2 linked regions of the Lepisosteus oculatus genome follow. The protein of the gene in region 1 purifies or fractionates together with the protein of each later gene. This does not show direct contact. Links are inferred from orthologs where the notes say so. Each region holds a gene or a part of one and is shown on either strand. Other genes may lie near its edges.

What was found. The genes of interacting proteins can lie anywhere in the genome.
Region 2: the proteins of ddx39ab (region 1) and api5 fractionate together in Homo sapiens (co-fractionation; 3 studies listed by BioGRID, with this or other methods). This does not show direct contact. The link is inferred for Lepisosteus oculatus from reciprocal best matches to the Homo sapiens genes DDX39A and API5.

The regions. Positions count from the first base shown.
Region 1 is NC_090706.1:13,739,816-13,750,915, forward strand, and holds the start of ddx39ab (DEAD (Asp-Glu-Ala-Asp) box polypeptide 39Ab), read right to left. Parts: upstream 5,390-11,100; 5' UTR 5,286-5,389; intron 3,828-5,285; 5' UTR 3,827-3,827; coding exon 3,619-3,826; intron 3,522-3,618; coding exon 3,394-3,521; intron 1,366-3,393; coding exon 1,089-1,365; intron 391-1,088; coding exon 272-390; intron 39-271; coding exon 1-38. Other genes in the region: uncharacterized protein, read right to left, coding at 8,391-9,092, 9,974-10,009, 10,128-10,181. UniProt on the Homo sapiens protein: Helicase that plays an essential role in mRNA export and is involved in multiple steps in RNA metabolism including alternative splicing. Regulates nuclear mRNA export to the cytoplasm through association with ECD.
Region 2 is NC_090716.1:16,206,045-16,216,549, forward strand, and holds the start of api5 (apoptosis inhibitor 5), read right to left. Parts: upstream 5,426-10,505; coding exon 5,042-5,425; intron 3,282-5,041; coding exon 3,120-3,281; intron 2,891-3,119; coding exon 2,797-2,890; intron 2,475-2,796; coding exon 2,409-2,474; intron 2,113-2,408; coding exon 1,961-2,112; intron 25-1,960; coding exon 1-24. UniProt on the Homo sapiens protein: Antiapoptotic factor that may have a role in protein assembly. Negatively regulates ACIN1. By binding to ACIN1, it suppresses ACIN1 cleavage from CASP3 and ACIN1-mediated DNA fragmentation. Also known to efficiently suppress E2F1-induced apoptosis.

The DNA of each region.
Region 1 (11,100 bases):
GTGAGCTTGGTCTCGTCGTCCACGAACACCTCCATGGGCTGGGCAGGCGAGAGCACAGGTTAGCACAAGGGGCTGTGCCGTCACCTGGGGGCTGCAGGTTCAAGCGCCTGAGCTGCTGCTGCTGCAGCAGGTCAACCAGAGGGAAGTGGCCAGGCTGCAATACTGACTCCTCAACACCTCACACACTGCCAACAATCACTCCCACACAGCAGGACCATCAGGATCACCCAACCCGACCTGCGGGCCCACCCTCTCCCCCAACCCCACTCACATCCTGCATGAATTTCCGGCAGACGGGCCGGATCTCCTTGCTGAGCGTGGCGCTGAACATCATGCACTGCTTCTCGTGAGGCGTCAGCCGGAAGATGTCCTGGACGTCCCGCCTCATATCTGCAGCACAGACGCACACAGGCAGGGAGAGGTAAGCAGAGTGCAACGCCCACCGCAACCACCAGAGGGTCGCACAGGACTGCGAGCAGAGCGAGCTCGAAGGACATTTTGTCCCCTCATCCCCAGGAGTACCTGCACCTCTCCTAAATCCCTCTGGGAAGGGCGGGGGGGAGACTGCAATCCCAAGCCAGGCTATAGATTAGTGTAGCATGCTCAGGTGTCTGTTGTCAATGGGATGCTCCAAGTTTCCAACAGCTAACCAATGTTAAGAAACACAAAAGGGAGCCGAGGTCTCTGTGGGCCGAGAGAACCAATTCCCACGATTCAGGGCGCCCCCACGTCCGGGGTGACTTCCAATCGGCATGAAGGCTCCTGTCCAGGCAGGAGTGTCCCGTCCTGGATTATTTAATGGGTGGGCACCCTATCCATAACCCTGGACTTCAGACAAACAGGAGACTAGAAGCGCAACAGAAAGCGAGCTGGATTCCTGGTCGTATCCAGGAGAAGGGCCCTTCCCCTTCAAAATCCTACACACGACAGCAACATGCCACTTCAGGGACAGCTATCAAAGGCCCGGGCTTGCAGACTTCCTTCAGACACGTAACTGGGGGGCAAAACACCGGCAGAACTCCCCAGTGGAGAGGGGTGTGCGCTTCTCCCACCATCGTGGCTGACCCCACTGCGACCCCGGCACTCACCCAGCTGCTCCAGCATCTTGTCACACTCGTCCAGGACGAAGTGCTTGACGTTCTTCAGGCTGAGCGTCTTGTTGCGGACCAGCGCCAGGATGCGCCCCGGCGTGCCCACCACGATGTGCGGGCAGTTCTTCTTCAGGACCTCCTCGTCCTTCTTGATGGACAGCCCCCCGAAGAACACGGCCGCCTTGACGGTGGGCATGTACTTGGAGAAGCGCTCGTACTCCTTGCTGATCTGGAAGGCCAGCTCCCGCGTGTGGCACATCACCAGCACCGCCACCTGGGGACAGAAGGGGACACCGTCAACATGGCCGCGGACACTTGGGCGCGGGGGCCGCCACGGCCCTCACCAGCCTCCTGACGGGGGAGCCGATCATGGCCGACCACCACTGAAGTCACTGCTATAATCACAGAACCGGCCTGTCAGAACGTGCTTCCCTGTCTATGTGCTGCGGAAATCTTCCTTTCGCCTCACTGAGCCGCTAAAGTCTGTGCGACACGTACTCCGAGTACACAAACCATCCAGTCGACTTTACAGATGGATACAACTGATGCAAAACAAAACTTTGGTGCAGAAAAACGAGATGTTCGCACATACAGTGGTGCTAGAAAGTTTGTGAACCCTTTAGAATTTCTGCACCTAAAATGTGATCAGATCTTCATCCAAGTCATAAAAATAGATAAGGAGAAGCCAATAACACACAAAAGGATATACTTTTCCATTCATTTATTGATCAAAATGATCCAACATTAAATGTCTTTGTCAGAAAAAGTATGTGAATCTCTAGGATTATCAGCTCAGTTAAGGGGATAATTAGTCAGGAGTGTCAATCAATGGGATGACAATCAGGTGTGAGTTTGGGCGGCTGCGCCCTATTTAAAAAAACCTGAGTCTTCACGACCAAAGTCTGGTCTTCACCAGACAGGTTTGTGAATGCATGCCAGGCCTCGATCACAGGAGATTTCCGAGGACCTCAGAAAAAGAGTTCTCGATGCTCATCACGCTGGGAAAGGTTACAAAACTATTTCTAAAGACCTTGGGCTTCACCAATCCACTGTTAGGCAGATAGCGTACAAATGGAGAAAATTTACACCATTGTTGCTCTCCCCAGGAGTGGTCATCCAACAAAAATCACTCCAAGAGCAAAGCGTCTAATATTCCAGGAGATCACAACGAACAGAGTAACGCCCAAGGATCTGCAGGCCTCTCTTACACTGGCTAATGTCAGTGTTCCTGAGTCCACCAGCAGGCAAACGCTGAACGAGAATAGTGTGCATGGGAGGACAGCAAGGAGGAAGCCACTACTCTTCAAGAAGAACATTGCTGCCCGTTCAAAGTTCGCTAAAGACCACCTGGGTGAGCCAGAAAACTACTGGAAGAATGTTCTGTGGACGGATGAGTCGAAAATAACTTTTTGGCTTAAACGAGAAACATCATGTCCGTCCGTGAACTGAAGCTCTACAGAAGGTGGGTCTTGCAGCAAGACAACGACCCTAAATACACAAGTCACCCAACCAAAGAATGGTTGAAGCAGAAGAAATTTTGCGTTTTGACAATTCTATCGGATTAAGGTCTGGACTTTGGTCCAGACCTTAATCCAATAGAATTGTTGTGGCAGGACCTGAAGCGGGTCCGCCAACATCACTGAGATGAAGCAGTTCTGTAAGGAGGAATGGGCCAAAATTCCTCCAAGCCGATGTGCGGAACCGATCAACAGTTACCCTGAACGTTTGGTTGAAGTCACTGCTGCTTAAAGGGGTCACACCAGTAACTGAAAGCATAGGTTCGTACCTCTTCTGACAAAGACATTTGATGTTGGATCATTTTGATCAATAAATTAATGAAAAAGTATATCCTTTTGTGTGTTGTTTTACTGGGTTCTCCTTATCTATTTTTTTTATGTATAGTTTCTAGCACATGCTGTCAACACAATGACAGAGGATACTGGTGCCTACTACCTAAGAGGATAAGAGTAACAGCACTCAGAATGAGTGACTACCTAATGTTTTTGTAGCCTCTTGGTGCTTTGAAGCATCATCCAGGTGGTAATTCTTAGATTTAGGAAGTGCAGTGGACGTGAAGCACCATTTACTCTTAACACTGCTCTACTGCAAACACTCCTGGTACAGAAGTGGCTTAAACGGCTGTTTGCAGCCAGTGATCTGGCTGCCTGCGTCTCCAACCCGAGCCCTGACAGAGTCTGGTGGAGAGGTGCACTGGCCTGCTCCCCTGCAGTGGTTTGCAAGTGAAGACCAGCTCCTCTTGGCCGCCTCGTGGCCACACGGACAGCCGGCCCGGGACACCTACCTGTCCGTCCACAGGCTCGATCTGCTGCAGGGTGGCCAGCACGAACACGGCCGTCTTGCCCATGCCCGACTTCGCCTGGCACAGGATGTCCATGCCCAGGATCGCCTGCGGGATGCACTCGTGCTGCACTGGGAGAGGCAAGGACGAGAGACGGGTCACCTGGATCCGCGGGATTCACAATCCCCCCACCCCCCCCCCAGCCGCGGAGCGGGGCGGCGCACTCACCCTCGGAGGGGTGCTCGAAGCCGCAGTCCACAATGGCCCGCAGCAGCTCGGGCTTCAGCAGGAAGTCCCGGAAGCCGGAGCTGTGGATGGAGACGTAGGAGCCCTTCACCTCCTTCTTGCCGGCAGGCGCGGCGCTCTCCGGCGCGGTCTGCGGCTCCTCATCCTCCTCGTAGTCCAGCAGCTCATTCTCAACGTCGTTCTCTGCCATGCTGGGGGGGAGGGGGCAGCAAGCGAGGAGATCGTTAGAGCAGAGCCCCACACCTGAGAGCAGGCACTCCAGCGAGGAGAAGACCTCATCATCCCCACACCACGCTCAAGACACACACCGAGAGGAGAAGACCTCATCATCCCCACACCACGCTCAAGACACACACTGAGCCCCAGCGAGGAGAGGCCTCCATCTCTCAAGACACTGAAAGCCACTCAGTGCACCCCGTCTACACAGCACACGAGAGCGCTGCCGGCCGGCTATACTTGACCCCTACACAGTCTAAAACCCGTCCAACAGCGTCAGCAGTCTCACTTGGCGGTTATTTGAGGGCTGACTGCCTGTCCAGCACTTTCTGCAGAACAAGTATCAGGACCCCCCGGACAGGTCACCAGCCGTCGCCCTCCCGCCCGCGGAGGGTTTCGATTTCAACACCACTGCGAGCGCTGAAGACCGATACTCGAAACGCCTGGACAGATAAACCCTTCCCCAGCAGCGCGTTTCAGAAGCGAAGGAAAGGCTCTAAAACGGCAGAGCCGCTCGGCCCGGGCGAGGGCACAAAGCGACAGGCCGCAGCCCGAGCACCGCTCTTTCCTGAGCGCCCCGACCGGGGGAGGAAGTGCCCTCTGCCCGAACCGAACAAAGACTGAAAGCGGGCCGCGAAGGCCCGAGCGCGGAAAAAAACAAATACTTATCTAACCAATGAGAAATGCGCCCTTAAAAAGAAAAGGCAACGCGTGGAAGAAAGAAAAAACCTCTTGCTAAAGCGTTCCTTTCAAACACGAAAGGCAAAGTTTTAAGTAGCAAAAGTCGACTTCGCACGACGGACTTTCGGAAACGCCAAAACACGTTGTAGCTAAAAGCCACAGGTCACCGGCGCCGGGAGGTCACAACCCCTGACCCGGTTCGGCATCTCGGCCCAGACCCCGGAGCAACGCGTCCAGAAGCACTGTTCACCCCGCAGCAGGCGAGCAACGCCGCCGGGAACAAGTCACCTTTCAAGGAGAAGGAGGAGGAGAAACAGCAGCTGGTCGGCAGCGGCAGGCGAGCCCGGGACAACAGCAAGCGCTCGGCCGGGCTGCAGCTGCCATGACGCTCCGCAGCGAACAATGGGAGGTCGGGTCTGCTCCTTCCGCCGGCCCGCAACACCGGCCCGCCGGCCTGCCCCGACAGCGGGGCTGCTCACGGCTGTCCCCGGCCCTCCTGCGAACGACCCGCCCGGCCCGGCTCGGCCCGGACGGAAAAGCAGGTACCGGACTCAATGAAGCCGGCAAACCGAACTGCCGTCCCCCCTCCTTTCTCACCGACTCGCACAGAAAAACACAACGATTCGTGGACTAGTGCCGCAATAAAATTTCAATTACCCTCCTCCTAAATAAATCCCAGAGACACCACAACCCCAGCAAAACGAAAAACTGCGACTTGGAACAAACTAAACCCCGAATTTCCCGTTTCTCACCTCTCAGCTCAAACCCCAAACAGCCTCAATCCGCCGCTGAAACAACACACATGGCAAGGCCGCTTGGTTTATACAAGCATCCGGAACTACCGCCTCCGGGCCAGCTGAGGCTCCTATTGGCTAAAGTGATCTTCAATCACATGAAAACTCTCCGTAGCCCCTTTCTATTGGCTTATTCATGTGTCCATCACGGAAGTACTCCTATCGGATTGGTTTGATTGTTGGGGTAAGAGGCGGGTTCTTCTTTGCCCGCTCGGAAGGAGACACAAATGCCGTTCCACCGGGAAATGAAATGAGAGGAGGGTTTTCGTCTTCGGCTTTGCGAAGTTCATAGTTGTCACACGTGGAATAACTTACTTTAAACTTTAACTAGTTAGAAAAATAAGAGTCTAGATTAAGCGACCTTTCTGGTATTTATACAATAATTGTTAAGGGGACGATTATTTTATTAATGAACTTGTCCAGTGGTTAAGATACGGGACTGTCACAGCAGGGGGACAGCTGGTCCGGTGGTTAAGATCCAGGGTATATGAGAGCTGTGCATTAGAACTATTACAATAGAGGAGTTAATTGATCCTAGGATCAGGATCAATAACTTGGTGACAATTTCTTCCAGATCCCCACAAGCCTTATTTACAATATTAACAATTCTAAAATAACTGCCTTTGTACAGCACGTTTCATCTCAAAGGATCCCAAAGCCCTTCGGAATAAGACGGAACCCACTTCACCCCGCTGTCCAGAGGCCAGGGGTGGGAGTGACCTGTGCTCCTGCTCCAGGCAGGTTAAGGGGTCAGCAGGGAGGCCAGTCTGTTCGAGCCCAGAGTGGGACTGATGCAGGACAATCCCCTTACAAACAAAAGTATCCCAAGATCTTAAATATAATAATAATAATTGCTTACACTTATATAGCGCTTTTCTGGACACTCCACTCAAAGCGCTTTACAGGTAATGGGGACTCCCCTCCACCACCACCAATGTGCAGCCCCACCTGGATGATGCAATGGCAGCCATAGTGCACCAGTACACTCACCACACACCAGCTATCAGTGGGAAGGAGAGCAGAGTAATGAAGCCAATTCATAGAGGGGGATTATTAGGAGGCCATGATTGGTAAGAGCCAATGGGAAATTTGGCCAGGATGCCGGGGTTACACCCCTACTCTTTTTGAGAAACACCCTGGGATTTTTAATGACCACAGAGAGTCAGGACCTCGGTTTTACGTCTCATCCGAAGGACCTCGCCTTTTTACAGTATAGTGTCCCCATCACTATACTGGGGCATTAGGACCCACATGGACCTCAGGGTGAGCGCCCCCTGCTAGCCCACTAACACCTCTTTCAGCAGCAACCTTAGTTTTTCCCAGGAGGTCTCCCATCCAGGTACTGACCAGGCTCACACCTGCTGAGCTTCAGTGGGCTGCAAGTTGTGAGCTGCAGAGTGATATGGCTGCTGGCCAAGTAGGACCAAATGACCAAGTAGGCAGTACTTTGATTTAATTGATTTAATGTCTCATCAGTTACAGGATCTGTTACATAGAAGGACAGCAGTTCCACAGTCATTCACAATGCACAGTTTCCACAATACTGATGTGGAAATTCCTGTCCAGAGGGCAGAGTCCAGAAGGTAGAGCACCACCTACTGGTCCACCTGCACCACTTACAACAGCAACTCTCCCATCCCAGTGCTGACCCGGCCCAGCCCAGCCCGGGCCCAGGTGCTGGTGCCCATGTCAGGAGGAGAGGTACACAGGTATAGCTGAGGAGGAGTGAGGAAGTGAGCGGGGCAGGGAGAAGAGTGTGAGTGTGCACCTGTGTGAGTGTGGGTGTAGGTGTGCACCTGTGTGAGTGTGGGTGTGCTCCTGGGTGAGAGTGAGTGTGGGTGTGCACCTGTGTGAGTGTGGGTGTGCTCCTGGGTGAGAGTGAGTGTGGGTGTGCACCTGTGTGAGTGTGGGTGTGGGTGTGCACCTGTGTGAGTGTGGGTGTGCTCCTGGGTGAGAGTGAGTGTGGGTGTGCTCCTGGGTGAGAGTGAGTGTGGGTGTGAGTGTGCATGACAGTGTGCTTGTTGTTTGCTGGTCAGTAGCTGTGAAAGGAGACACAACAGTGTTAGACACGGGCACTGCTAACACTATCAGCAGAACTAGTGAGACTGCTGCTGCTACTGATCACACTGCCCCACCACCCGGCCCCACCCCACCGCCCTGTCCTGCCCCGCCCTGCCCCGCCCCACCACCCTGTCCTGCCCCGCCCCACCGCCCTGCCCTGCCCCACCACCCGGCCCCACCCCACCGCCCTGTCCTGCCCCGCCCCACCGCCCTGTCCTGCCCCGCCCTGTCCCGCCCCACCACCCGGCCCCACCCCACTGCCCTGTCCTGCCCCGCCCCACCCTACCCCAACACCCGGCCCCACCCCACCGCCCTGTCCTGCCCCACCCTGCCCCGCCCCACCACCCGGCCCCGCCCCACCGCCCTGTCCTGCCCCGCCCCACCGCCCTGCCCTGCCCCACCACCCGGCCCCACCCCACCGCCCTGTCCTGCCCCGCCCCACCGCCCTGTCCTGCCCCGCCCTGTCCCGCCCCACCACCCGGCCCCACCCCACTGCCCTGTCCTGCCCCGCCCCACCCTACCCCAACACCCGGCCCCACCCCACCGCCCTGTCCTGCACCGCCCCACCCCACCCCACCACCCGGCCCCACCCCACCGCCCTGTCCTGCCCCGCCCTGCCCCGCCCCACCACCCGGCCCCACCCCACCACCCTGTCCTGCCCCGCCCCACCGCCCTGCCCTGCCCCGCCCTGCCCCGCCCCACCACCCGGCCCCACCCCACCGCCCTGTCCTGCCCCGCCCCACCGCCCTGTCCTGCCCCGCCCTGTCCCGCCCCACCACCCGGCCCCACCCCACTGCACTGTCCTGCCCCGCCCCACCCTACCCCAACACCCGGCCCCACCCCACCGCCCTGTCCTGCACCGCCCCACCCCACCACCCGGCCCCACCCCACCGCCCTGTCCTGCCCCGCCCTGCCCCGCCCCACCACCCGGCCCCACCCCACCACCCTGTCCTACCCCACCCCACCGCCCTGCCCCGCCCCACCCCAGCTGGGCCCTCTCACCTAGACGGTCTGTGCGGAGTCCCCGTTGTGCCCCTTCTCGTTGCTCACCAGGCTCTGGGGCAGCAGGGTCGATCTCCCAGCACCTGCCCCGCTCCGCATTTCTCCTGCCCCCCCTGGGAACAGACCCCGCACCCCCTGCGCCCGCGAGGGAGGGGGGCTGACAGAGGCAGCGCCCGCCCTCACCCTGCTCCTGGGCACAGAGGGCAGCGGGGGCATGTTGAGGGGCAATGCCACCCCAGCCCGGGCGTGCCCGGGGAAGAAGGGCCCTGGGGGGAAGGGGGGGTAGGCTGAGAAGATGGGGGGCGGGGGGCCCATGAAGGAGGGGTAAGGGAGGTACTGGGGGTGTGGCAGTGCTGCATTGAAGTAGTACGGCCTATAGAAGGGTGGGGTGCAGGGAGGCCGAGGGGGGTGCCCGTTATGGAGGGAGGGGTCTCTTGGTGGGGTGTCCAGTCTTGGGATGGGGCCAGGGAAGGGGAAGTGGGGTGCATCGGGGCCTGGGAAGGGGAATTGGGGTGCATCGGGCCCAGGGAAAGGGAATTGGGGTGCATTGGGGCCAGGCTCATTCTGGATGAATGGGTTCTGTGGTGCCGTGGGGCCGGGGAAGAGAGGAGGGGGAGCTGGAGTGGGGGATTTCGAGGTGCCCCCGGGACCAGGCAGCGGGGACTCTGTGGGGGAGCCCTGCTGCCCAGGGGGGGTCCGGACCTGTTGGCCACACAACAGCAGGAGACAGCAGAGAGAGAGAAAGGTCAGCCTCAGTGCCCACCCCAGAGCTAGGCTCGTTTTTGCTGGAATTGTCAGTGGGCATGGCTGGTGTCTTGTAGGGGTCTGCAGAGGCATGCTGTGCCCTCCCCGTGTTCCCTGTCCCTCCCAGCAGAGCCAGTAACCAACACCCCGCCAGGCTCACAGCTCTCTATTCTAGTCCATCACAAAGCCTCTTTGTGTCTGGATCTGTCCCTCACAGCAGGGCCTCACTGGGCACAGCGGCCCCTTCAGGCTGATTCTGAGCACTCGCGCGCTCCTGTGGCTCTAGGATCCCAGTCTTTTTCATGTGTTGCCCTTAATTGTCTGTTTCTAATCTTTGGGTAGATAAATTTATTAATTGCTCAAATAATAGGTATGTACCCTATTACAGGAACTCTGGTCCTTGATTTCTGACTATTTCTGTTAAATAACTTCTAAAGTGTTTAATTGACCAAATCACTTGCAACTGATCACAAATTTGGCGTCTTGGCCAAATTTCCCATTGGCCCTTACCAATCATGGCCTCCTAATAACCCCCATGTCTGAACTGGCTTCATCACTCTGCTCTCCTCCCCACTGATAGCTGGTGTGTGGTGAGTGTACTGGTGCACTATGGCTGCTGTCACATCATCCAGGTGGGGCTGCACATTGGTGGTGGTGGAGGGGAGTCCCCATTACCTGTAAAGCTCTTTGAGTGGAGTGTCCAGAAAAGCGCTTTATAAGTGTAAGCAATTATTATTATTATTATTATTATTAATTAACTTGTTCCAGGTCTTCAGTATCTCTGCTACACTGGAGAGGCATGTGCTAGGACCTTTTTAACCACAAGGGGGCAGTGTTACCTTTCTCAGCCTCAGCTGACCGTTCTTCTGAAAGATCTGAAAGATAAGGGAGCAGGGAGGAGGCGATGAAAAACACTTATGTGTTGTCTCTCAGTGCTTCCTCTCGGGTGAACAGTCCTGCGTCTGCCCACGTGTTCTACACAGAGACACTCACCGAGGCTGACAGCGCAGTGCCCAGGACACACAGCAGCACAACGACCACACGCATGGCGAGATCACTCTGGAGCACCACCTGCACGACAACAGCAGGCGGTCAGGGAGACGAGCAGCCTGAGGACTGTGGCTTCCTGGGAACATCACTGCCCTGTTCATGGTGCTAGTTCTCGTCATGGCGAGAGGTCATGAAAGTGTGCGTTACTTGTGTTCTGTTTGGCAGCTTCCAGACTGAAATGTCCTGCAGTCCAGTGGCTGCCTGTTTTCCCTAAGAGCTGCACTCTCCATGCAGAACACAAGGCACGCACACAGAGCTCAGAGGAGCTTGGATCCCACAGGACGACGGAGCTTGGATCCCACAGGACAAGACGGAGCTTGGATCCCACAGGACAAGACGGAGCTTGGATCCCACAGGACAAGATATAGCTTGGATCCCACAGGACAAGACGGAGCTTGGATCCCACAGGACAAGATATAGCTTGGATCCCACAGGACAAGACGGAGCTTGGATCCCACAGGACAAGATATAGCTTGGATCCCACAGGACAAGACGGAGCTTGGATCCCACAGGACAAGATATAGCTTGGATCCCACAGGACAAGATATAGCTTGGATCCCACAGGACTCACACGGGCCAAGACAGTGCTCAGAGCTAGACAGAGCTCAGAGGACAAAACTCAGTGCACAGTGCAAGAAGCAGAGAGGATACACAGGATAACACACAGCTCAGAGCACAGGGTGTGAGGCACCTGTATATAAAACTATTACACTGCACACCTGGAGTACAGAAGCTGAATACAGGACGAGACACAACAAGACAGAGCACTAGGCTTGAAGCACAGAGTACACAGCATGGGACACACATCTTGGAGCATGCGCCATGAAGCACAGAGCTCAGAGTTCAAGGCATGAAGCACAGAGCACATAGCAGTGAGATAACCGACACTAAACCAACCTGCAGCAGTCTGTCTACA
Region 2 (10,505 bases), on another chromosome or scaffold:
CTCCCCCGTCACGTCCTCCAGCACCTGCAGCACAGCGGGAACACGTGAGAAGACACAGAACACATCGAAGATGCCAAGATGACTATACCGACTCCGCAGTATGGTAAGGTGTCAACATTTACCAATTTACTTCAGAGGATTCGATTACCTGTTAACAAGGGTCACCGGGCTAGAACTGGGCTGTAATGTGAAAAATAAATTTTGCAGGACGGGGCAGCTGAATTTCAAATTTCATGCACTGAAGGCGAACTGAAGTCCTTGTACTAGCAAGTGAGCCCTATCCTACCCATCTGACCATAAGCACACAGCACTTACGCAAGCAGTCCAAAAACATATGCACACTCATGCAGGCCTTATGACTTGACAGACAACAAATGGGCAAGCCTGGCTTAATTATGTGACCAGCCACATTACTGTGGCATCATCAGTCCACCTTTAATGCTGGTGTTTGCTTCCTTATTTTCTTCCAGAACAAGCCTGTTTCATCTGCATTGAACACTTGCCCTAGCCTACATCCCTCATTACTGATGAGCCTCTTCTGCTTCTCGGGAAACGCCTCTGCGGTCATGTGACCCTCCCCCACCAACTCCATGTTTTGAAGAGAAGAACATTTCTTTCAAATTATTCATTAAACTTTCAATTATGACAAAGGTGGAATGACTTTCATGGTAGTGTTACACACTAGGTTTAATGATATTTGCCCCCTTATTTAGTTAATACCTTATGGTAGAAGTAAGTAAATGATTATTATTAGCTGGAGGGTTATTTGCAAATTTCAACTCTTTCAACACGGGGTGGGGAATCAGGACCTAAGTGTTTGCCGGTGGGGCTTCTCCACTGTGAATGACAGATGGAAGGGACCGTGGGCCTTCCACAGTGGCTAAAGATTCACACAGGACAATAAGCCTTGTGCCCGAAACGGCCCCCATGAACGATCGGACATTCACAGTTCAAGAGCCGGGCAGGACCCACGTTTACACAACAAGGGCTAAACGGTTCCCCCCAATCGATAGACTGTTGATATGTAAATAGTGAATGCAAATGGTGAAGAACTTCTAATGGCAAATACAACTATTGTCTAGAAAAATGAAGCCATTGTATTGCATGTAATTGAATTTGTACAGAGTGTCAATTTAGTAGCCATGTTGGACTGAACTGAGAATTAAAAGCTCCACCCTGCAAAAGTCATTACTGATATCTTCAGAGACTGAAAGAAACACTTTATGTTTACAACTCAAGCGTATTGTTAAAATGATATCCCTGATTTATCTTTCTGAGAATTATTTAATAACGAAAGAAGTACAATGCACACAGTCCTTTTGGGTATACAAAACAGGCAAGACATTCTCTACATTTTTTACTTTTATGAAGTGACCAGGCCAGTCAAACACTATTAGGCTCCTTTGTCCAGAAAGCAGAGCTTTTCGAGGAAACAAACCCACAAGAACACAACTAAGGCTATAAGTTAGAAACAGCCTCAGTTTTCACACACAAACATCTCAACAGCAGCAACAGCTCCACTAACCTACATGCTTTTGCTACTTACAACAGTAAATATTGACACACGAGCCGTAATGTTAGGAGCAAAAAAGCCCACTGAATAATATACGTTATAAAATTCGAAAGCATCAATCTGCAGGAGTTAAATATTGTAATGTGAGAAACTCAAAAAATGTAACCAAACGTTTCTAGAATTTCATTCATCTTGACAAGGAGAAAGAAAATAATATTCATTACAAACTCCGCAGGACATATATCAAGATTTTAATTTTAAACTGTGTAATTATAAGAATGATGCCATCAAGGATTTCTACATATAGAAAAGTACTTAAAAGGAAGCAGTATGTTGAAATCTAATTCCTGTAATGGTTCAGAGTCTGAGATGCACTGTCTAATCTAGTTCAATTATTGCTCCCGTTATTTAATCAGATTACTGTCAGGCATGTGGCCCTACACTTACCCTCTTGGACTCAGTGAAGATGTAATCCTCCACTTCCTTGGTCAGCACCTCTTCTGGCAGAGTCTTCAGTTTGGTGGAGAGGAACTTGATGGCCCTCTCTCTGACGATGTCTTCCCCTTGCAGGATCTGAGTGAACAAGCCCCCCAGCGTCCCTACAGGGACACAGTGGCAGAGATAAGAGACTGACTCAAAAATGAAAGAAATGAAATAGCTCTGGACGTTTATGTTGATGTCAAGGACCAGTCCCTCAAACTCACAGCCCAAACTTTAAAAACTCTTCTAAATTCTGATTAACATGATGAAGAAAAGTTATTTAAGGAAGAGACTATAGTATTAGTTAGCAGCGGTTTTTAATCCCAAAGTCCACATCCTCTAAGATGCCGCCATTCCACCATTAAAGGGGTGAGTACAAAAGAATAAATTGATTTAGTGAATCACGTAATCCTACCTCTGGCATCCATCTTGAATATGGACAACAATGCATTGTTTACCAGGTTAAACTCTGCAGAGTCATCTGTTGACAGAAAACGCAATAAATTACTAGTTAACACTGGAGAGAAAAAAAAGACTTGCTTGACTATTCAAATCCTCTCCTAGTTAATCAATATATCGGCCAGTCGAGTTTACTCAAACCAAGAGGGTGTGCGCTAAGTGCAACGTTGCTAGCCAATGGTTAAATCTAACACACCACACAATTAAGGGGGGGGAATATACAGGAAAATGGTGTACAAAAAAACATTTCAAGACAAAAACGATAAAGCCGTCTAATGTACGGGACTGTGGCACTGACAGGGACCAAGGCGCAGGTGGAACTGAAAGCTGCTCTGGATGTGTACCTGTCTGTAAAAGCTGTGTTAATATGTCTGCCACCCTGGGGAGATTCTCTCCAGCAGCAAACTGAGGGAGCTCTTTGATGGCCTGGCGCCGGATCTAGACAGGAAAGAGGAAAACAGAAACTGAAATGAACTGCACGTCACAAGGGAGGGTACCATTTACCTCATTCACCCCCACACTGTAAACATCAATCTGTGAAAGAGCACTAGTGCAAGCCTCCAGAAATATTCTGCCATCACTCTGCACTTGTTTTACGCCTTTAATTTTTTCAGGTGATGAGGCTCAGAAGGGCATGCCGAGCTGCAGCTAGTTTTACTGTTCTTACCGAGACATCCTCGTCCTCGCAGAGGTCGAGCTGCGCGTTGATGGCAGCGTCCGCCAGCTCGGGGAAGCTCTTGAAGAACTTGGGAATAAACTGCGCGGCCAGGCGCTTCTCCTTCGGGCCTCCCTTCACCCCGTCCAAGATCACCTGGTACGCATCCTTGTGCTGCGGGGAGAGGGGCTTGTTACTACACAGACGTCACAAACCATACAGCACATGTACCGTGGGCGAGCATCCCATCCATTTTCAACCGCTCCTTCCAAGTCAAAGTCACGGGGAAACCGGAGTCTATCCTTGCAAGAAACTGGTTCAAGGCAGGGAACACCTTGGATGGGACGCCAGTCCACACACAGACACCAACACACACACCAGGGCCAATTAACCCACCAGCATGTCCTTGGACTGTGGGAGGAAACCCACGGGAGCAAAGGGAGAATATACAAACTCCACACAGACAGCACCCCAGGTCCTAAAGCTGACACTGTGAAATCCATTCCCAATCCCAATTCTGGCTGTGAAGCTGCAATAGTTGCTTGTTACAGCCTTTGTAGTCACATTACAGCAAACTTACTTGCCAAGACCTAGCTCTGCAGAACCATCAACAATACTAAGCAGGCATGTACAGCAGCAGTAAGCTAGCGAGCACGTTCAATTTAAACACTGATTTTATTCTCCAAGAAGGGCCCCGGAAAACGGCCTTCAAGATGACCACACAACCAGACTCAGGCAAAGGACAGGATTTGCCATCTCGAGCTTTAAAACTGCACCAGGCAGAAGTGAAAATTAGATTACAAGTTACAAAATATTTTTAACGTTTTTGCTGTATGCTATATAGCGGTGGCTCTGTGGCTAAGGATCTGCGCCTGTGACTGGAAGGTTGCCGGTTCAAATCCCACGGCCGGCAGAGGAATCCTACTCCGTTGGGCCCCTGAGCAAGGCCCTTAACCCTAACTGCTCCAGGGGCGCCGTACAATGGCAGATCCTGCACTCTGACCCCAAGCTTCTCTCCCTGTCTCTGTGTCTCCATAGAGAAAAGCTGGGGTATGCGAAAAGATGCATTCCTAATGCAAGAAATTGTGTAGGGCTAATAAAGAAACATTAAAAAAAACATTAACATTAATTGACATTATATGAACCCCTGATCTACTTCAGCTACGAAACAACTGAGCTGCCATCTTCACAGCACAGAACAATTATTTTGTTCTGAGAGATGAGAAGAAAGATTAAACACGACAGCCTATGAAAACCGTGAACTTACTTTACTGGGATGCATTCAATCAACAATTTTGTTCATATGCAAATGAAAACCTTAACCTGGATATATATTTTTTTTATTGTAACATCGAGAACTGCACTTAAGAACAAAGGGGCATGACCTTCTTGAAAACCACAGCATTTAACGTCCCAGATTCACGCTACCAGACACTGAATTGAACTGGCTGAACCGAAACGTTGAATCACGTAAGCCAGAAATATTATCAACACTTAAGATTCTGTATTTGGCTACTTCCTTTCTGCCCTAATGTAAGCTGGGACTTGTACTGTATACCCAACAAAAGAAAAAAAAAGGTGGTTGATTAAAAACATATCAAAATACCGGCACAATAACCCATTAGCGAAAGGTGAAGTGTTGTGGCACTAGAAACAGTCAGGGGCGACTCTCATCAGCCCTAGTTCGGAGCAAGACGGCCCGTAAGTTTCTCTCTCTCCGTGCACCGGCCTGCTGCTGGGCAAGCCGCACACCGGCCCCGGCCTCCTCCGCCCCCACTGGCGACTTTCTCTCCCACAGCACCGACACGGGAGGCAGGCTCCGCGGCGGCCTGCTCTCGCCTCGGCGCGGCGGACGGGCCCAGCAGCGCACAGCCGGCGGGAGCGGCGAGGCCGCCTCCGGGCCCACCCCGCGCCCCGGGCCGCAGCTCCCTCACCTGGGCGACGCTGTCCTTGGCGTCCGCCAGGATCCCATAGTTACGATACAGCTCCTCCACCGTCACCGCCATGAGCGTGGGTATAGAGGCGCAAAGCCCTGCTATGCCTGTTGCCCGATCCCGGCCTCGGCCTGCGGCACGCTTTCTCCGGACGAGCGGCCCGTGTGGCCGAGCGCTCCCTGCGCAGGAAGGTTCCAGAACTCGGCGCTGAGGACCAACGGCCGCCCGGGCAATAGCGCGACTGCTCACTTCCCAACAAGAGCGACTCGGCCAGGGAAGATGGGGAAGACTCGCAAGACTCACAACGCGCAGACGCAGGGCTCCCGCGCGATCGGTTCGGGCTTTTCGTGCGACGTCAACATACGGGTGAGCACGCTCACGCATGCGCAGTCAGCGGGGAGCTACCGGTGTGACAACAGACCAATTGCCTTCCAGACGCAGCCACGAGCAAAACTCAGCAGGCTCTCGCGCCCCGGTGTGTGACGTAAGTACACAGGACCTGACGTGCACGCATCATTCATGCAAACTGTGGATGCTCATATTAATAGAGCACAGCTGATGTTTGTAACAGTATTAGCTTGTTGTGCTCAGATTTGCGATGGTCTCTGGCAACATATTGTTCTGTTATTTTTGGCTCACTTTTCTGGACACTGTTTCTCCTTTATTTCAATCGTTTGATGTTCAATGAAACGCAAGAAACAAAATGTTCATTTTATTAGAGTTTATTTTACAATTATGATTTTAACACGGCTGCGCTATTCATTGGATTTATAGCATTATGCTTTACAGTTAGTTGCTTTAGTGTTGTAATTCGTCATAGAAGGCGTTATCTTCATCTGTTCATAATCTGTCACGACCTTGCTCAACGGATGTTTTTTTGTGCATGCATGTGTTTACGTGTATTGTTTTTGTGTTTGTTTTACATCTGCCGCTTTAAAAGAAATTGCCCCTTGGAGATAATAAAGACTCTATCCCAAAGACATTGGTCCCAACTCAACATGGGTTCGTCTGTTTGCGTACCCAGAGATGGTCCTGTGTCCCGTTTATGGTGTAGTTCTGCTGTAAGCTTCGTGTTTCCGTGTTTCTGGAGTAGAACAGGGCAGCTAGATACTTTCCAACACAGGATGGGCGAACACAGTGGTTTTCAAAACTATTTGCTTTTCGTAATGCCTCTCAAAAAGGATTTCAGTTTCGACAGAATGCCCAGAAAGACAAAACAAAATAAAGCATACTACGTTGTTACAGCAAGAAAATAAACATAAGTCTAATTACTTAGCCATCAGTGCAAAGAATTTAAAATACAACTGGTGAGTTGGGAGGGACTACCTGTACTCGGATTGAATCCTTACATTTCCGGGTTTAATATCTTGTCATTAACCGGTCCTCTGCATCATTGGTTTTCAGCCTGTGTGTGGAGGACCAGGTGTCCCGTTTTTTTTTTTTTAACGGAGCTTTTAATCAATCAGGCTAATTGATCTGTAGCTGCCTTTTTGGACAAGTTGTTTCCAGCTGGTAAGATTTTAGGGTTAATAAGTGGTATCGACCCTCAGATACTTTCCTAGTTCTTCACGTGCTCTTCCCCAGAAGTGCGGGATGTAAATAACCGAACCTCTCTGCAGGACATGGGGAGAATCATTTATTTTTTTGTGGTATGAGGACTGCATATAATGTAATTCCTCTTCCTGCAGAGAACTGTTAAGGAAGACAAAAACAGAGGACCCACTTAATATCCGAACTGATGATGTATGGATGAATGGGCTGCGTTCTTGTCTGCTAGATCTCCTTATGTGGACACAACTGCAGCCATAGCATTTGTGGAACGCAGAGCCGGGAAACTGGCTGAAGAGATATAATCCGGTAAAGCTTTTGAATTAAAGGCGGCACTTCGCCTCAGAAACTAAGAGCTCGGGCGGATCAAAAACCAGAGGGAGGCCGGGCAGGCGTTTTTAGCACCAGTGTCCTGCACAGAGAAGTTATTTATTCAGGTGTGGTTGTGCAGAACACCGAGGTCATAAACCTCCCTGTCACTAGGGGGCGCCCGGGGAGGCGGCGCTCACCCCCGAGTTCGTGATGTCCGGACGTTCTTGACTCGTCAGACGCCAGTGCAGAGAAGTGAGCACGGAATATTCTCGCTCCTGGCAGGTAAGACGGGTTTAAACCCACCAGTGCGGCGGCTGCTTGGGTTTGTAACGGTTCCCCAGAGAAAGGGGGGTGATCGGGGACCCCTGTACAGCAGTGGGAGGCCGCTTTGCTCAAGTGGTTCATTTCGGCGCAGTTCCGTGAAGTCACCGCCTTGTCTTGAGAAGTTCAGCAGTGCAGGCGTCTGCACCCAGGACAGGTCAAGCTGTCAAAGACTGTGGGTTTTTTAAATACACGCTTATGTGGCACATTTGTTTAATGTTCAGCGTAGTTATCCATAACTTGTTTCGCGTGTCTTGTTTTTCACGAGGGTTTTTTTTCCAGGACGAGCTAAGATGTCAGTGTTAGTAAATGTCCTTATTTTGTGCCTTTTCCATGGGGATTTCTTCAACTCTAGTAAGAGTGATACTCATTTCTACGCGACATAACTGTCGTCAAGCAGTTAGATTAGGGGTTTCTCTAAATGGTTTGGAAAGTGCTTCAGATGGGCGTTCAAGGACTTCCCCTCGGCTTGTTAGTTTTAATAAATTAGTCCTGTCACTCACTTCCCTCAAATGGCAAAAACGTGCCGCTTTAATCGTCGTTTTTCGTGTGTCTGCTTTCGATTGTATGGGGAATGATATGACGTCAACTTGTGTGTGTGTGTGCAGTAGCTACAGTACAGTGAGTGTGTTTGATCAAACAAACGGTGGGAGAAGTACTGGTTGCCAACCCATATTCTAGGGCTCGAACAGATCAGGTCAGACTTATATTAATTCATGGACGTGGAGTTAGCTAGGCGTGGGAATGTGTGATAGATTTCAACCTTTAGGATTACTGCCGAGAAAAACGGTCACTTGTGTAGGTCACACTTTATCTGTAGGAATAAAACGTTTATTACTGTAGTTGCGGCTATGTGTTATCAGCACGTACCACTCCCCTCTTCATTTCTTGAAAGCTTTCTGGTCCCCTCGATGACTTTAATGTTGGGTTTAAATGTACAGTGTCAGCTGCTTTACTTTTGCATCACCGTCTGAGACTGTTTCAGTGCGAGAAGCTCTGAACTGCTGCTTTTATACTCTTAAAGCAACTACATCTATTGGAAACGGTTACCAATTGAAAGCCACAAACATGGTGGTTGTAAATGAATGCAAGTTCGACTCTAGAAATTTACTTGTATTTTCTGTATTTTACTTTTTTTGTATATTATTGATCCAGGCATTGTATTTTCTAACTGCTTCTTCCAATTCTGTGTCCCGGGGAGACGGCAAGTCAATCCAAGCAAGCATCTGCCGCAAGGCAGGGTACACCCTGGATGGGACACCAGTCTCTTCCAGGGCAGACACACTCACTCGCGCCAGGGTCAGCTTTCCCTGAAGCCAGTTGACCTACAGTACCAGTAGGCTGTGGGAGCACAGCGCCTTGGGAGTTGAACTCGGGACCCCAGCGCTGTGAGGCAGTAATGCTCACCAGAGCTCCACCGTGTCACCCAGTTTTAACACATTTGAAAAAAATAATAATCCTCTTTAATCTTAAGTGTTTTAAAAGCCATATGACTTGCCGCGCACCTGCCATCCTGCAGTTACATCAGTGAGAGTGGCAGAGCTGCACCAATCGGTGCCGACTCCCCTGTAAGTCAGTGTGGAGATCGCCACATCCCGGAAGAGTGTGTCTTGGCTCCTTTTTCTCCTTGTGCGTCGCAGGATATGGAGTTGTGAGCCTGAATAAGCAATCGGTGGTTCCAATATATGAGCATAGGAAGTGCTAAAGTAAGCCAATATCAGATGCTGCACATATCCCTTGTCTCATCCTCTTTGTGTAAGATTGCAAGAGAAGAGCACAACCTGAGAAAAATGCTATTGCTTTTGCAGATCATCAGTACATTTTTTACAAAAATCTACATCTGTACACCCACTGATACATGCCATGTTTTGGCTTGGTGCAAGGGCTGTATTGGAAGTGAAATATGACTCCTAGTCAGATGTGGGAGAATTGAAAGGTAGTTCCCTTGTTCGATGGTAAATGTGAGGATGTTGTGGTTTTAAAATTGTTGATGCCTAAAACGTCTGTTATAGTTTTTCTTGGGCTTCACAAACCCTGTGCAGTGCACTTCATTCTCCTTTTGTGTAAGGAAGAGTCTGTAATGTCTCTTCTTCTTGTTGGTCCTGTAGGTCCACAGACTGTATTGGAAACAGCTTGTCGGCCCCAGAGGTAGAGAGACGGGACCCTGGCTGCTGGAGTGTCTGTAGGGCGGAGGTCCGTGCGATTACGGGCTGGAGAAATAGCCAGGCTACTTCAGTTTGAGAGCGGGAGAAGGACTCCCTTTCTTCAAGATTAAAAGCAGCCATTTATTTTGCTCTAGAAGCAATGTGGATGAAGCCAAGTAGTCGTGTTTGAAGAAAACGTACATTCCGTGCTTTAGTGAAAGAGAAAGGGAGTGGTGTAGCTCCGTCCCAAGTGGAAAATTTACGGGATTATGATTAAATTATGGAAGGCTTTCTCCATCAGATAGAAGGTGAAAGGAAGAAAATGAACACTGCTCCTTAAAGACCCCAGCACAGAGGGTGGAAATTTGTGACTTGGAGGGGAAAAACACCATGGTCAAACACTCACTCTTCTGGGAAGGCGTCCTGTAGACATTTGAGCCAGGAAGACTGCCACAGAGGGAATTCGGAGAGAGCGCCGTCTTCAAGGTGAGGGGGACTGGTGCGTGTCCGTGGATCTGTGTCAACTCTTCAAAACAAGAAACGGGTTGACAAGCACTTCCATGCCCATGTTACAAATACCGGCTTTCTACATTCATGTGATACACAAAGACACCTGATACAGCTGGGTTTTTTTTTCTGCATTCTGTTCTAATAATAATAATAATGATGATGATAATGTTGCTTTATTAACCCTATACAATTTCTTGTATTAGGAATTCGTCTTTTCGCATACCCCAGCTTGCTCTCCATGAGACACAGACGCACAGACAGGGAGAGAAGCTTGGGGTCAGAGTGCAGGATCTGCCATTGTACAGCGCCCCTGGAGCAGTTAGGGTTAAGGGCCTTGCTCAGGGGCCCAATGGAGTAGGATTCCGCTGCCGGCTGCGGGATTTGAACCGGCAACCTTCCAGTCACAGGCACAGATCCTTAGACAAAGAGCCACCGCTCCTCCCATGTTCTATATGTAATCGTATTGGGACTGTTTGATTTTAATATGGGCAGTTAATTTAATATTGATTTTAATGTTATTGTACATTTCCTGATTAATTTGTAGTATTTTTTCTCACCGATATCATCCCCAAGATTTCAGCAATGCAATGCCTGTGGTTGATCTGTAGGTGGCACTCTAACTGCAGAAA